Diceros bicornis minor: one gene and its partner. The protein of the gene in region 1 purifies or fractionates together with the protein of each later gene. This does not show direct contact. Links are inferred from orthologs where the notes say so. Each region holds a gene or a part of one and is shown on either strand. Other genes may lie near its edges.

The links. Proteins that work in one complex are often made in the same cells at the same time.
Region 2: the proteins of IFT57 (region 1) and IFT27 purify together in Homo sapiens (co-immunoprecipitation; 3 studies listed by BioGRID and IntAct, with this or other methods). This does not show direct contact. The link is inferred for Diceros bicornis minor from reciprocal best matches to the Homo sapiens genes IFT57 and IFT27.

The regions. Positions count from the first base shown.
Region 1 is NC_080754.1:11,471,346-11,478,433, forward strand, and holds the start of IFT57 (intraflagellar transport protein 57 homolog), read right to left. Parts: upstream 3,026-7,088; 5' UTR 2,946-3,025; coding exon 2,734-2,945; intron 240-2,733; coding exon 77-239; intron 1-76. UniProt on the Homo sapiens protein: Required for the formation of cilia. Plays an indirect role in sonic hedgehog signaling, cilia being required for all activity of the hedgehog pathway.
Region 2 is NC_080764.1:12,873,147-12,881,083, forward strand, and holds the start of IFT27 (intraflagellar transport protein 27 homolog), read left to right. Parts: upstream 1-4,893; 5' UTR 4,894-5,121; coding exon 5,122-5,155; intron 5,156-7,937. UniProt on the Homo sapiens protein: Small GTPase-like component of the intraflagellar transport (IFT) complex B that promotes the exit of the BBSome complex from cilia via its interaction with ARL6. Not involved in entry of the BBSome complex into cilium. Prevents aggregation of GTP-free ARL6.

The DNA.
Region 1 (7,088 bases):
TTTATGTTGTTGAATTACCAATATTAAAATTCATAACTTGAGAACATGCAGAAAGAAGACAGCTCTTTACACTTACAAATGATCGAAGCTCAGATAATACATTAGATATTGTTGCATTAGGGTCATCATACTCTTGAGGCTGCTCAAAGGGACGTCCTGCTTTGTTAATCAGCCAAGCAGCAAGAGTGCAAAACATGTAGAACTGTTCACCAGGGTTGGTAGGCAATGCAAAATAGTGTCTATTTCAAAACAAGGGGGAAGGGAAGAATATGAAGGAATATGAAATACTGCAAATAAGCCTATAGTAATTAAAAAACCTAAGTCCAAAACCGCCAAAGGACTTTTTTTTCCCCAAATGGCCTTAAAATCAAGACACTGATAATTCACTCTTTTAAATTTCTAGTAATCCACAGTACTCAAAGTTCTTAATCAACAGGATTAGGGCAATTACTACTATACACAAAATATTAGGTCAAAGACCTTACACCCGGAAAATGCAGGGCATGTAAAAAAACAGAGCATGTAGAACTTTTGCCAAAATCATTTACATGTCAGGAATAATTAATGAGATTACCTCCTGAAAATGGTAATTTGGAATTAAGAGAGTCTCAGAGTTTAAAAAAAGACCTGAAATGATTATTCATCACACATTTTTACACTTTTACAATGTCATTAGAGTATTTACTTACTGTTTCTAACCTATAATATACAGTTGTTCTCAACTAGCTGCATATTTGAATCATCCGAGGAGCTCGTAAAACTATTGCTACTGGGGCAAACATTGCTTCTTCCCTCATGGATTAAATCAGAACTTCTGGGAGTGAAGCCCCACTATGGGTACATTTCAAAAGCTTCCTAGATGGTTCTAAGGTACAGCCAGGATTAAGAACCACTGAGTATCACCATCCCCAGTCTAACAAACATTTGTTGACTTTTGTTAAATCCCCTAGCCTACTAAAAACAGGCCTATGAGGATCACTATGATTTATACCTAAACATGTTAGGAATAAAACTTGATAGCAACAACACTCAAGTAAGTTTGGTCAAAGATCTTATTTTGCCTTTTTATGTGTAGCTATAACTATTGTTTATAATATATTTATAGTTGTTACAAGTATTTTTCGTAAGAATCAGCAGTCTACTCCTTCATGTTTCTCAAACTTTTTCCTGCAGGATAAGTGTAAATATTTGAAAGATAACAGAAAGCTGGGAAGAAAAAAAGGCCAGGAAGTCCTTCCAGACATATGCTCACAACCCTTTCAAAGGACCCCCCGCTAACAACTCATCTTTTCCTTACTGGCTGATAACAACTCCAGGACAGAGGCATGGATACTGAAAGATACTGTAGAGCTAGGACTGTAGTTCTTAAACCTTAGCATGCATCAGATTCACCTGGAAGGCTTGTTAAAACACAGACTTCCAGCCTTAGAATTTCTGATACAGTAGACCTGGGAAAGGGTCTGTGGGATTGCATTTCTAACAAGTTCCCAGGTGATGCTGATGCTGTTGGTGCGGTGACCAAACTTGGAGAACCGTTGGCGAACATCTTGCAGAACTCCTGAGGAAATAGTACAGAGGTGTATCAATAGACCCTTAAGGACATTTTCTTTTAGTTTGAAAAATATACTTGGGAAAAAAATGCATTTTTATTAACAGAAAATGTTGGTTGTTCACATTATCCAGATTAATTCATTTAAGTAAAAACTCCCAATCCTATAATTTCTATCAGGGATCAAACAACACTACTTTTTCTTCCAACTTTTCTCCTATTATGGACTGACTTAGCCATGTGGACAGTTTACATGAAGCCTATATATCTTACAATTCAAGTTACTGGAAGAGAGCAAGAAATGAGATCAAAGGTGTCATGGGAAATTATTTGAGCCATTAAGAGAGAGTACTATAGATTTCCTAATCTAAATAGTCTCTTACACAATAAAATAAATGTTAAGTATTAATGTGAAGGAAAAGCTATAAAACTTATCTGGCTATTGCTACACTACATTGATTGGAGGAGAAAATGCTAGCAGTCTCTTACTCTCAGCAATTAATGGCACTGCCTTCAGGATATGAGGGACTTTTCCCCACCAGAACAAGGGCAGAACTTCAGGTTCTAGGATAAAGAAACAATTTCAATATTTGTCCCTTCATTTGTCTTTTCCAATGAGTTTCTGAGAGTATTGTTACTGCAAAGGCAGAAGTCTTGCAAAGCATAGCAAAGCGTCAACAAGTTTACTAACTGTATGTAAAGCGCTCAGGGAGGTCCTAGGTACCCAGGGTTGCCACTCCACGACAAGTCCTCTCAGGAGAAAACGAAAACTAGAGATAATCTAAAAGATAGTGGCATTACCTCCGGGGATGAGATTATGGGTGATTTTAGTATTTTTCTACACATTTTCTTGTGTTTTTCCGAGTTTTCTACAATAGGTACTTTTATAATCAGGACAAACACAGTGTGTGTTCGCAGAGGTGCGTGTGTGCTTTAAAGACTAGGTAAGCTGTCTTCCAGCCCTTTCCTCCGTTCCAGAACTTGTTCACTCCCTACAACATACCAAGTCTAAACTCCGTGAGCTCCACGGCCCTCCGTCGCCCAGTTTGGGGTGCAGTGCCCTTTCCTGGCTAGGAAGGCGGAGGCAAGCGCTTGCTAACCCGCTGGCGTTCCCCAGAGGCCGGAGCAGGGCATGTCCCCAGCGCCCGGCCGCCACCCAGGCGCGGGGGGACGAGGGCACCCACCTGGACGGGGGCTTCAGGTTGCTCTTCCGGAGGAGCTCCTCCTCATAGCGGAGCAGCTTCAGCTTCTCCACCAGGTCCTCCATCACCACGAACATGTGGTAGGCCGCGCCGGGGCCCCGCTCCACGACCACCTCCCCCGCCCCTTCGCCGCGGGACCGGGACACCCCATCCTCCAAACCCGACGGCGGGACCACCGCCGCGGCGGCCGCCATCGCACAACAGACAGAAAGAGCCCGGCCTGGGCCGCGGCCCTCAGACCTCCGCGGCCTCCGCCGCCCGCGCCCCAGCAGCCCGGACCGCCGCCACCGGTTACCAGGCGACCGCCGGGCAACCCGTCACCAAGGAAACTAGACTCCGCCTCCTCCCCGCCCCCGTCTCTTCTAAATTCCTTCCAACCAGGGCGGGCTTCCTGCATGACGTCACGTCGGGCCCCGCCCCTTCCCCTGCCTGCGAGGAGGAGGAGGTGGCCGGGAGGCGGCGGCGCGCCGCGTCGGCCTCGGCTGCTGGGCGGGGGAGGGGCGGCGGGCGTTTCCGCTGGGCTGGGCCCCGGGCCCCTCCCCGGCGTGAGGCGGCCGGGGCGTGGGGTTACCCCGGGCGGCTGAGCGGGCAGCTGAGGCAGCTGGTCGCAGTTAGAAAGATGAGGGGGAGAGGGAGACGCGCGGTGTCGATGGCTGTGCTAGCCCACTCATACCTCTCTCTCTTCTCAAAACTGCAAGTTTTCACAGTTGCAAAGATAGTCGAAATCGTAGGTTTCCCTTTCCCTCAGGAACTTTCCAATGAGAGGCTTTTTTTCCTTGAACGTAGGCTGTCAGTAGGGAATGCTGTGTTTGATTTAACAGTATCTTGTTCGGCTTGAAGTATTGTAATGCCCGCTGTTACTCCAGCGCTGGGAGAGGGCTTGTCGGTTGGGGGCGGGGGAAGAAAGGCAGAGGATGAGCAAAAACGAGGCATCGGGAAGGCTTTGTTCCACTTCAGAAACAGGATCCTGATGCTGAACACATCCCGATGCTTAATCTGTTTTAAGCCCAATACATGCAGTATAAAGTTTTGGGGTGTCTTGTTAAAATCAACAAAATAGAGGAGATAATCTTGAAAGGAATTTCCTTATAGCTCTAAGTGTGATAAGGACAGTGTTACTACTGTCCCCTGTAGCTGCTGACCTAGAAAATGCAAGAAAGGGGACAGAAGTGACCACAGCTTTACAGTTCTCAAAAAAGGCTTGTGTATAAAGCACTGTTCCCAACAGCTACATATAAAACGAGGTAAGTGGTTGTAGGGACACTAGCCTATGTGCCCTTTAAACCCTGTGTCCTTGAGGCTCCTTGGCTGGGCTAGGCGCCAGCACTCATGACGCTAACAGTCCTGGGCTTGGCCACCCCACCTGTTTTTTCCTGGAAGTGTTAGCACAGAGACCCTCAGTCTGAAGGAACACGGAGGCCCTCCAGGGCGGGGTGCTCTGGGGCTTGGAATGCAGATCATACAGGGACAGTCCCCCTTGGCAAGCACGCAGCCTTTGTTCCTCTGTCTCCTTAAGCAAGCTTCTCTCAGGGTGGGGGAGCGGGTGCACATTTCCCCCCCAGGCGGCCGGCACTGGACCTTTCCTGTAAGTAACTCCCCACTAAACCCATATGTCTCGTTCGCTGTCTCCGGGTCTTTTCTTCGCTTTCTCTGCAACGTATCCCTCACGCAGCTGGGCGTGTGGTGGAACAGTGGTGATGCTGGAGGTTTCCTGGGAGAAGAAAATGCATGGCAAGAGGTTGAACATGTGTTTGTGTTTATAATGTGAATGTTGAGGGATCCCTGATCTCTTCTATTTGCTACTAGAGAATATAGAAGAGTTACATTTTTTGACATAACCGAAGTTTGAAATTTATCTGTAATCTTTTTGTTTTCGTTAGAAAAATGGGCGGAAGATCACTTTTCATTTTAATATCAGTCTGGACCTAACTGGTTCCTGATACTAATAAAAGTATCAAAGTGAAGGATCAGAAAGGCAAATGCTTTTTTCTGTTTACCAAAGAAAGGAAATACGTAAAATAACTGATTTATGTCGAAAGTAACCTAAAGGGGAAGGCCACTGAAAATTGCTTTTTAAATCAATAACATTGTTTGCCTACATTGTTTGTCATTAACCAGCTGCTTTTAATAAGGATGCGTGGGAAAACTGGATTTGACTCTACCCCACTGCCAAATTGGTTGTCGTCTTTGCCTCTTTAGAGCAGTGTTTATCTCCCATATATCCCCACCACCACCATCACGTGTGTGGGTGAGGGATGTGTGGTACATCTGTATAACTCTCAGAGTACAAGATAGATGTATAGCTTTTTAGGATTACAAAAAAAGAACTCAGATACATGCTTTGGGGTGCTTGGTTAATCAACAAGCAACCTGTGGCTTTTTAAATGACTCCCCAAAAGGTGTCAAACTTTATTGTTAAGTTGGTTACACCCAGGGAGATAAAGGCTTCTCAAGGCATGCTGCCTGCATAAGATGTTCTAACATTTTCGGAAAGTTATATAGCACTCAGGATGAAATAGTCAAATGTTTTTTGGCTGACTGGAAACCCTCCAACAATGTGTATATTTTGACTAGGGAAAAAAAAACGCCTCTCCCAGAACCTAGCCATTTCCTTCCCAGGTACAATGCTGATGCAGCCTGGCTTGAAAGCAATATGAAGAATTATTTTTCCTCTTAAGTGTTGTGAAGAAGAAAAAAAGACTAAACTATAAAGCATCCCCTATTAACTGTGGCACAGAAAGAATGAAAGAAACAAAGGAAAAGCCAGCTGTTCAACAATGCATGTTTTCCCACAGAAAAAAAGATGGGAAAGTGCACTGAAATGTCATTTCATTTTCATAAGGCCCAGGGATTATTTTTGCTGAATCTTTGTTTACTGCAATAGTTGATAACACTTGAAGAGGACTTTTCCCCTATAGAAGTAGTGTCCTTCACAGGTGTAAGAATGCACAGTCAAATCCTCTTCCAGCTGTCATGGCCACTTGGAAGCTTTGGGGTACATTTGTGTCAGTTTTTTTGCAGGACTAGCTCATTCGTTGACTAAGGAGTGAGGTAGAGCTTGAAGAGAATGGAATGTTGAGGCATGTTCATACTTTCTTTAAAGACTCTTAAGAGAGATTTATCCCTGGCTCTACTGTGTGGACCACCGTTAATAGCTGGGCTTCTGACTCGGACTTGTATCTCTTGTAAGCTATCTGTGAAATGATTGGAGGTAATTTGTGAGGCCCTTAAGGTCTTTCTGTAAATGGGCTAATCTCTGAAAACTGAACAGCATCCCAGTCAAAGCTGATTTAAGTTAAATGGATTTCCCTGAAAGGTGTTCAGCAAGGCTAGGGGTGAAAAGGAGGCAGGTTCAAAGATGGAAGAAGGCTTTCCAGAAGCATCTCCAAATATAAAAAACAAGTCCTCCAAGAAGACTGGACAGGCTTAAAGAACAAAGCTTCTTTGCATTATAAATGGCTTAGTACCACCCATTTGGGATGTTAAAAACTTAGAAAATCACTGATTGAATGAAACTTCCTTAACCTAATAAAAATTGTCGGCCAAAAATCTAGACAGAAAAGTCATACTTAAATGTGAAGCATTAGAGGCAATGCCTTTTAAAGCCAAGGACAAAGTGAAGACATCTACTCTCCAAAACTATATAGATGCCTGAAATTTATATAATGTTATAAACCAGTTTTACCTCAATAAAAATAAATAAAATAAAAGCAGAGATATCTCACAAAGGTAGAATAGAGAGAAATTGAGTGAGAGAGAGGGAGGGCTAAAAGATGACTGAAGTTTATCATTAATAAGGGAGATGAGATGGGAGATGGTTTGAGGGCAGGTAAGTTCAGTGTTAGACTCACTGGTTTGGAAGTGGTGGGAGGCATCTGACTTGAGACTGTGGCAAATGTAGGACTGGAACTCAAGGAGGGCAGGCAGCAGAGAGAAATTTGGGAGATATCTGCAAAGAGATATTTGAAGAATTGGAGGAAATCTCTGATTTAGTCCATGGATATGGAGTTTTGCCAGTTTCTGAAAATATTAAATATGTGACAATAAGAACAAAACTATACTAGAGATCAGAGTTAGCACACTAAGACAAAGAAAAGAGTATTGCAGAAGAAGAAACTATTGCATTTGATATGATTAAGTAAGAAATTCAAGAGAATCTACAGAAAAGCTATTAAGACAGCTCAACAAGTTTGCCATATATGAAAGCCAAACTGAAGAAAAGTTACTGGAAAAATGAAAACCTCAAAACAAACCATATATAGCACCAGGAATAAGTATAGCATTATCTTTATGGAGAGATCATTAAACTCTACTGAAAGTCATAGAAAAATCCAAAT
Region 2 (7,937 bases), on another chromosome or scaffold:
AATAGTGCCAAGGTGGAGAAACCCTAATCTAAACACACAAAATTCCCACAAATCCCGCAGCCCTCTCTTTTGCATTGCCCCCTGACATGAAGGCATTAGAGCAAATCCGCTCTAATGTATGAAGGATATTCTTCTTGAGGATTCATGCCGAATAACTCTCAAGAGGCCTCTCCCCACTAATTTCCCCTAAAGCCTCTTATTTATCCAGAGGGATTGTTTTGGATCCAACGATCCTGCTAATACACTCTACAAGCAGGGGGGCTCTGAGGAGCGGCCCCGGCAGAGGAGACACCCCAGAGCGATGGCGGAGGGACTGTGCCCGGCACTGGGCACGGTCAGCTCCGGCGCTGAGCGTGGAATATTGTGGCTGTCCCTGGCACCGCGCCGCAGCTCCCACGCATGCTGCCTGTCAGGGCTGTCGGGAAGCAGTCAACCCCAGGATGATTGAATAGTCCCTGGGAACAACATGTCAGCAGCTGCCCCTCCGCCTCCTTCTCCCCCAAAGCCCTCGCTGCCTGATCAGCCCAAACAGCCCAGACCCCGGCTGTGGGGAGGAGCGCTGTTAACCCCTCCTCCTCCATGGAGCCTACGGAGCTGTAGGGTCTGTAGGATCTACAGGTGTGGAGCTGGGGGGGTGGCGGTGTGGAGGCCCCAGGCATCAGGATGCCCCCATCTGAATGGCCATGGCACTCCCTCCAGAAATAAGTCGGTTACCTGCACAAGAATGGATGCTCCAGATTGCTGCTTGTTGAATGAATGAATGACCAGAAGGGTAAACCCTATGAGATTCATTCATTCATTCAAAAATATTTGCTGAAGATCTTGCCATGCTGGACACTGTCCCAGACACTGGGAGGACAAGAGACCAATCCCTGCTCTCATGAAGTTTACCTTCTAGAGGAGGGAGACAGACACTACACAAACAAACAAATAAATATAGAATATAATATTGGGTAGTACTGAGTGCCATGAAGTACAGTAAGGCAAGAAGATTGAGACTGACAGATTGGGGGCAATTCTTTAAATGGGGTGCTTGGGAGGGCTTCTCCACGGAGGTGACATTTGACCGAAGATCTGAAGGTCAAGAGGGAAAGAGTCATGCTGCCATGTTGAGAACAGTAAGTGCAAAGGCCCTGAGGTAGGAAGGGTCTTGGGGAGTTCGAGAAACAGTAAAACAACCAGAGGAAGTGAATAAAGGTGGGTCCTGGCATGACTTAAGAGCAGTCATTCTCAAACAAGAGCTTGCATCAGAATCACCAGAATGGCTCATGAAAACACAGATTGTGGGTCCCACCCCCGGTGCTCAGTTGGGCACTTCTAACAAGTCAGTGCGTGATGCTGATGCCTCTGGCCCAGGGACCACAGTGTAGGATATTTTTCTTTAATGCAACAAGTCCTTTGCTACTCAACACTTACCACAAGCAGTCACAGATAATCATTGCTTGATTATCCACCTCCCCACTGGGCTGGATGCTCCCTGAGAACAGCGACGATGATGGTTCTGTCCATGGTGCTTAGTAAGTACTCAATAAAATATCTGTTGAACGAATTCTTCAAAGAACATTCTCTGCCGGGCCTTGCCTCTCTTTTGCCTTTCTGCTGTATGTTTGGCTTCAAGCAGATGCTCGGGTCACACCTAGTCTTATCAGTCTCCCATTCACACCTGAGCAAAGAGTGTCACCTGACATTCTCCAAGGTGGATGCACTCCCACAGCTCCACGCCTTTGCACATGCTGTTCCACCCAGGATGTCCTTCCTCCTGTGTCCGCCTCGTCAATTCCTACCCATTCTTCAAGGCTCTCCTTCCAGAATATCCTTCCCAACTCCACTCCACCGATCCAGGGTTAGGGGGTGCCCCTCTGGGTCCTGTATCCACTCATGTCATATGGATTTGATCCCACATTTGTCTTTCTTTCTCAACTAAACATTGCAAACGGGCAGCCCCCGGGTTGAACCAGTCAACTGAGGTGTTCTACTGCGGCTGCAGTGTTTTAAATTTAAGTACATTGCCAAAATTTGAGAATCAGGGGATTTCAGACAAAAATTCAGATTCCCGACTCTTCCAGAAAATGCAGGGACCTGCAACACTGGGCTGGCGTTCCCACGTGGCCATGATCTGCCAGAGCTGCCTGGGACTCTGTCACCTCCACTTCACGGCCCCAGCACAGTGCCTGGCCTAGGGAAGGCACTCAAGAAAAGCTTATTAGTGAAACCAGCAAGACCACACCAGGCAATGGAAGAACATCGGTCCCGAGAGCAGGAGCCCTGCAGCTGGCTCTGGTTCTGGCTGCCTTGTCACATGACCTTGGGCTTTCTATGGACCTCAATTTCCTCGCCTGTTAAGTTGAAGCAATGATAGTTTCCACTTCCAGAGTCGTTGCATCAAACAAGAGAGTGGATGTGATTTGTTTAGCACGTGCCTGGCATACAATGCTCAATCAGCGAGAGCTGCAACTGCAAGGAACTCAGTACACACTTACTGTCTAGGATGGGAGAAAGGGTGAGAAGAGTTAGAGGCAGGAGAGGCCCCTGTTCTGCCAGGGGGACAATGGTCTGCCTGTGTTCAGTCCCCAGTTCTGCCATTCACTAGCCTTGTGACCTTGGGCATTTGACTTAACCTCATTTGGGCCTCAGTTTTCCCATTTGTCGAATGGGGATGATACAGGCCTCATGGGGGTTAGTGTGAATATCAAATGTGAACATGAATATTAAATTAATCCTTTAAAGCACTTAGAATGAGGCTGGCACTCAGTATGTGCTCAACATACACCAGCTTTAGCTGTTATAGCTGCTCAGGAGGGACTTAGACTAGAATTTCTCAAGGGCCCTCATGGCTCCTAAACACTCTGACCGCCTTAAACCCAGTGACTCTGGGCCATGCAGCTGTCATTCAGTCATCAAGAATGTACAGAAGGCCCTTGAGATGGTGCAGGGAGGGGGGTAGAATTCACTATACAGGGTTTACCGCCTCTCTGGAAAGATCCAAAATGCTCTTACGATGGTGCTGACTACAAACATACAGAGCAGCAGCAATGACAGGGAGAGAGTGGATGTGGTGCAGAGAAGAGCCCTGTGTGGGAGGTGCCATTATGACCCCCCATGCAGATGAGGAAACTGAGGCTCCAGAGGCCACCTCCAGATGGATCTCAGTGTCTCAGCTCCACGGAGCTGCCTTGGAAGGCTGACTCACTCAAGGGCTCCTTTAAGGGATTAATGGGGTCATGGGGAACAGGACAGCCTGGAGGGGGAAGCACGGAGACCAGGCAGAGGCTTTCTGACTCACCGAGGCCTGGGGTGTCTGAGACAGACTCGCATGACATCTCTAAGAAGAAAAGTAGGTATGAGGAATGAAGCGGAGACAGGTCTTAACCATAACACTAGGAGTGACTCCCAAGGGAAGAAAATTTCAGACAACTTGCATTGTTTTACTCCAAATTCAGGGCTGAAACTTTCATAGCAGTTCGTGGAGTGTGTGTGTGTTCAGGGCCCTGCGCAAGGCTGGCAGCCACCCTAAGACACAGAGCAGCTGAGAGAAGGTCCAGGTAACTGAAAGGTATGTGATGGCGAATCCCGGGCGCAGGCATCTTCCAGGGGGGCTACTCCTCCCTTTCAGCATTGGCCATCCCAGGGGCGCAGCAGGAGCGAGAACAGCGGGGCATCGGGCCGGTCCATGATGGCGATGATAAACCAGACCTGTCCAGATAAATTTCTTCTCATTCAACACTCACTGTTGAGCACCCACCATGTCCCAGGCACTTACGTACTTTCTCTTTTAGTCCTCAGGACAACCCATGAGGTGGGTTCTACTAGCCCACCTTTAAAGATGAGGAAAGAGGCTCGGGGGTGAGGCCTCGCCCGGGTCAGGAAGATGGCAGTGATTTCAGTCTGGGTTTTCTGGCCACAGAGCAAGAGGGGCCTCTCCGGAAAGTCAACAGACATCGGCAAAGCCTCCGGTGTCCGGGCAATGTTCCTGGATGCTTGCTTTCATTCAATATGTGGTATGTGCTATGTGCTCCATCTTACAAGAGAGGAAACGGGCTCAGAGGAAAGTATGACTTCAAATGCCCTCCTCAAAGTTCACTTGTTCTCCCTTCTGCTCACAGACATCACTTGAAACACTTTCATACTTTAGACTTTAAAACGCATAACATCCCTGGGCTTGAAAAATGAGATTTCCCTGCGGGATGCGGGGCAAGGACTGCATTTCTTGATGCACCTCATAGCCGCGCTCCCGGGCACCCGGAATCTGGGGGAGCGACACGAACCTCCGCGACGCCAAACCCGCTCAGAGCTCGGTTCGGGCAACTGCGGCCTCCTCTACTGCGCAGGCGCCGCTGCAGACTTGAGCGCGCCCGACGGGCCTCGTGGGAGAACTCATTTCCAGAAGGGCAGGGGGGTGCGGCGAATCCCCATTCCTCCCGAAGATGGGCCAAGCCAGCCTCTGGCCAATCAGAAAGCTTCTTTTATCACCGCTCTAGCTGCACGAGGTTGGAGCTGCTTTTCCCTGAACTTTCCTGCGGGGCGGGTGCGGGAGGTGTAAATGGTTGACACCTCTTGCAACCATTCGCCGAGAGGGTTGAGCTTGAAGAGCAGATGCCACTACGAATTGCCTCACAAGGGAGGGCTGTTATCCCCGCCCCCTCCTCCCACTGGCCTCCGAGAACCTTCGGGGCGGGAGCTCTTGGCGGCAGCCAATCGAGGGTCAGCGAGGAGAAGGAGGAGGCGGGGCAGGCGGGCGATGGTTGCCCCGGTAGCGCGGCTGGCGCGGTGCTGGGGGCTGAGGGGCTGCGGGGTTGCTCTTCCAGGTCCCCGCTGCTGGGGGCCGGGCTGAGGGGTTGGACCGGGAGCGGGAGCCGCGCCGCCTCGCTCGCGCCTTTCCCGGCTGCCTTCTGAGGCCTGGAGCTGGGCCGCATCTGGCACGCCCTGCGCCCCCGTCCCAACCCTAGCACCCCTTATCCGCCCCCCGCGCAGCCCTGCGGGTCCAGGCCCCGTCGTCCCCGTCCCCACCGCGTCCACAGCCCCTTGAGCGTCAGCCCTCCTCACTTCCCTTCCCAGGCAGGCCTGCCAACTCCTCCAGCCGCCGCTCTTCCCCTCTCTGGTCCTTGGAGGTGGTTGGTTACCATGGTGAAGCTGGCAGCCAAGTGCATCCTGGCAGGTGAGTCTGAAAACTTGCGGTTGAATCCAGTCTCTGGAGTCCAACGACTTCCTAAGTTATCGAGAGCTTTGGTTCACGTAAATTGTCTGCCCGCTTTCCCTTTCTCTTGCCCAAAGGCGAGTTACTGCCGTTACTGATAGAGTCAATTCCTCTAGGCGTGGAAGAACTCTCTTCCAGAGCACGGTGGTAGCTCCGGCCGAGTTTCCCGCTCCTTGTCTACTCTGAGACCACCTTCTCCAGTCTGAGCTGTACTCAGGAGGAGTCGACGCGTTAAAAAATCAAGCTAAGCACACCATAAGTGCTTCACCGGAACCCACGGGCTGTCCCGCAGTTAGGCTTCAGTGACTGTGGTCGTCTTTACCTGTGGGATGATTTTCCTGACCCCATCCCCTCTGATAGCAGGGATAGGAGACGGTGATGTACGCTTGACTGGAGTTTGCAAAAGGCCCATGTGTGTTGTCTTTAAGACCCAAAGTTACTGTGCTGCCCACGCTCAGAAGGGCATGAACGTTGAGTCCTCCAAAGGCAGGAATCTTTGCCGACTGATACATTCCTAGCACCCAGAACAGTATCTGGGACATAATAGGAACTCAATAAATATTTGTAGAATGAATGAATTTGTGGCGTGCACATTTGTGGTGCTCTGTTTGTATCAGTCTGCACCTTTAGAAAAACATTTGCCTGGATTAGAGACCTGGGGCCACAGAACACATATGTCCCCTACTAGGTGAGTCCTATGTATGTGAGTCCTAACTGTATGCCAGGCACATGTATTTCATTTAATCCTGTCACGGTAGCCCGCTGGGGTCCGTGCTGTGTTGTTCTGATCTTACTGATGTGCTGAGAGCTGAAGAGTCTTGCCCAAGGTCACCCCCTAGTGAAGGAAGGTCATAGGATTTCAACCCCCAGATCTGCCCAATTTGAAAATTTTTGTGTTACCATTGAAACGTAGGCCTCTCTGGGGTTCCCTGACCAGCTCAGAAATGAAACGGTGAGACATTATCTAGCGGAGAAGGATTCCTTTTTTTTGATTCCGCTCTTTCAGACTGAAAATAGATGATATTTTTAATGACTTTTCTAAGTTGGACATAAAAGGGTCACACAGAAAGATGACTGACAGCAGTAGCTCAAATCATACTGGAGCAAAAGGAATTAATGGTTCTCAAGAGAGGTCTCTGGTTTCCAGAGCGCCAGGGGAGGCAGTATTGTGTCACAGAAATCATCTGGCTCTTCCTCTGATCGGCTGTCTCATGTTGCACAGAGCACTTCTCTGAGCCTCAGTTTCCTCAGGGATAAGGTGGGAACGTTTTTATTTTCTGAAGTTAGATTTTTTTAAATGGGCTTCTCTCTCTCTAACTGTTCTTTTTCTTATTTCTTTTTTAATTCAGCTTCTGTCATGGGGCTAGCTGACTGAGTACCTTTCGTGTGTCAGTACTGTGCTAGACCCTCACCACAGGTTGTCTCACTGAATCCTCACAACAATCCTGTGGGGTCGGCATTATTGTCATTCTCATTTACAGATAGGGCAGCTGAGGCCCAGAGAGGTTAAGACACTTGCCCTGGGTCACACAGCTGGATCTGATTTCCAGGGCTTTTTTCTCAGCCCCAAGCGATACCGTGCTCAAGCCTCGATTCTAGACTCTTTGCCCTTCTTTACACCCACTCTCCCAGGTACTGTTTCACCTAATTTCAGTAGCTGCCTAAGTGATTGCTGAACTCCAGCCTCACCCTCAATCTGCAGCCTCCTTTCAAGGCCTCAAGGGTATGTCCTCTTAGAAGTTTGCAGGGGCCAGGAGACTTCAGCACCACCAGCCACCAAATTCGCCTTCTCCATACCACCTCCACCACACACCTCTCTTCACTGGTTTTATTTTTTTCTTTCCCCGCACAGACCTAATCAATCTGTTTTTTCTCTCACATAACTAGTCACTGAGGGACCTGATATTTACTTCGAGTGCTTATTCATTCAACAGATGTTTATTGAGGACCTACTGTGTGTGAGTCACGAGGCAAGGTGCAGTGGGACTACAAGGAGAAATCAGGCCAGCCCCGACACTCAAGGAAGCGCTGAGATGTGCATCATAACTTATAATTCAATTCAAACACAAATCGAATGTCCTTTGTGTACCAGGTACCAGAGAAATACCTCAAGGCACAGCTGCTGATTGTTCTGGTTCAAATGAAGAGAGAAAACAACACTTGACATTTATCTATATTTGTTTAAAAATCACTTAAATATTACTAACTATATGTCAGGCACTGTACATGTTAACTCTTAAATCCTCAAAACAGTGCTATGAGATAGGTGCTATTGTTACCCCCATTTTGCAGATGTGGCAGCTGAGGCCCAGAGAGGTTGCTGACCCAAGGTCACACAGCGAGTAAGTGAGGGAGCCGGAGTCTGTGCCCTAAGCACTGTGATACGCTGCCTGTGGATGTGCGTGGGGATGCTCACAGTGCCTCCCTGGAGGCCTGCTCTGCCATCAAGGCTCGTGCTGCCAGCAGTGAGCCATGTTACCCACACGGCTAAAGACAGGAGGGGGAGATGACCTTCAGAGGCCAGGCAGGAAGGACCCTCTGAGCTTTGCCTGTTAGAAAATGAGCAGGATTTAGCCTTGGACCGGAGAGACCTGGAAGGAGGTTGTCTTCGAGGGATTTTCAGAGATGAAGAGATTAGGAGTGTGGAGCCCATATTTGGGGTGAGGGAGGGGCGGAGAGAGAGTTGGGGAGGGTTAGGGGTGACAGTGGAGGGGGGTGTGCCTGGAAGGAATCCTTGGGGGTT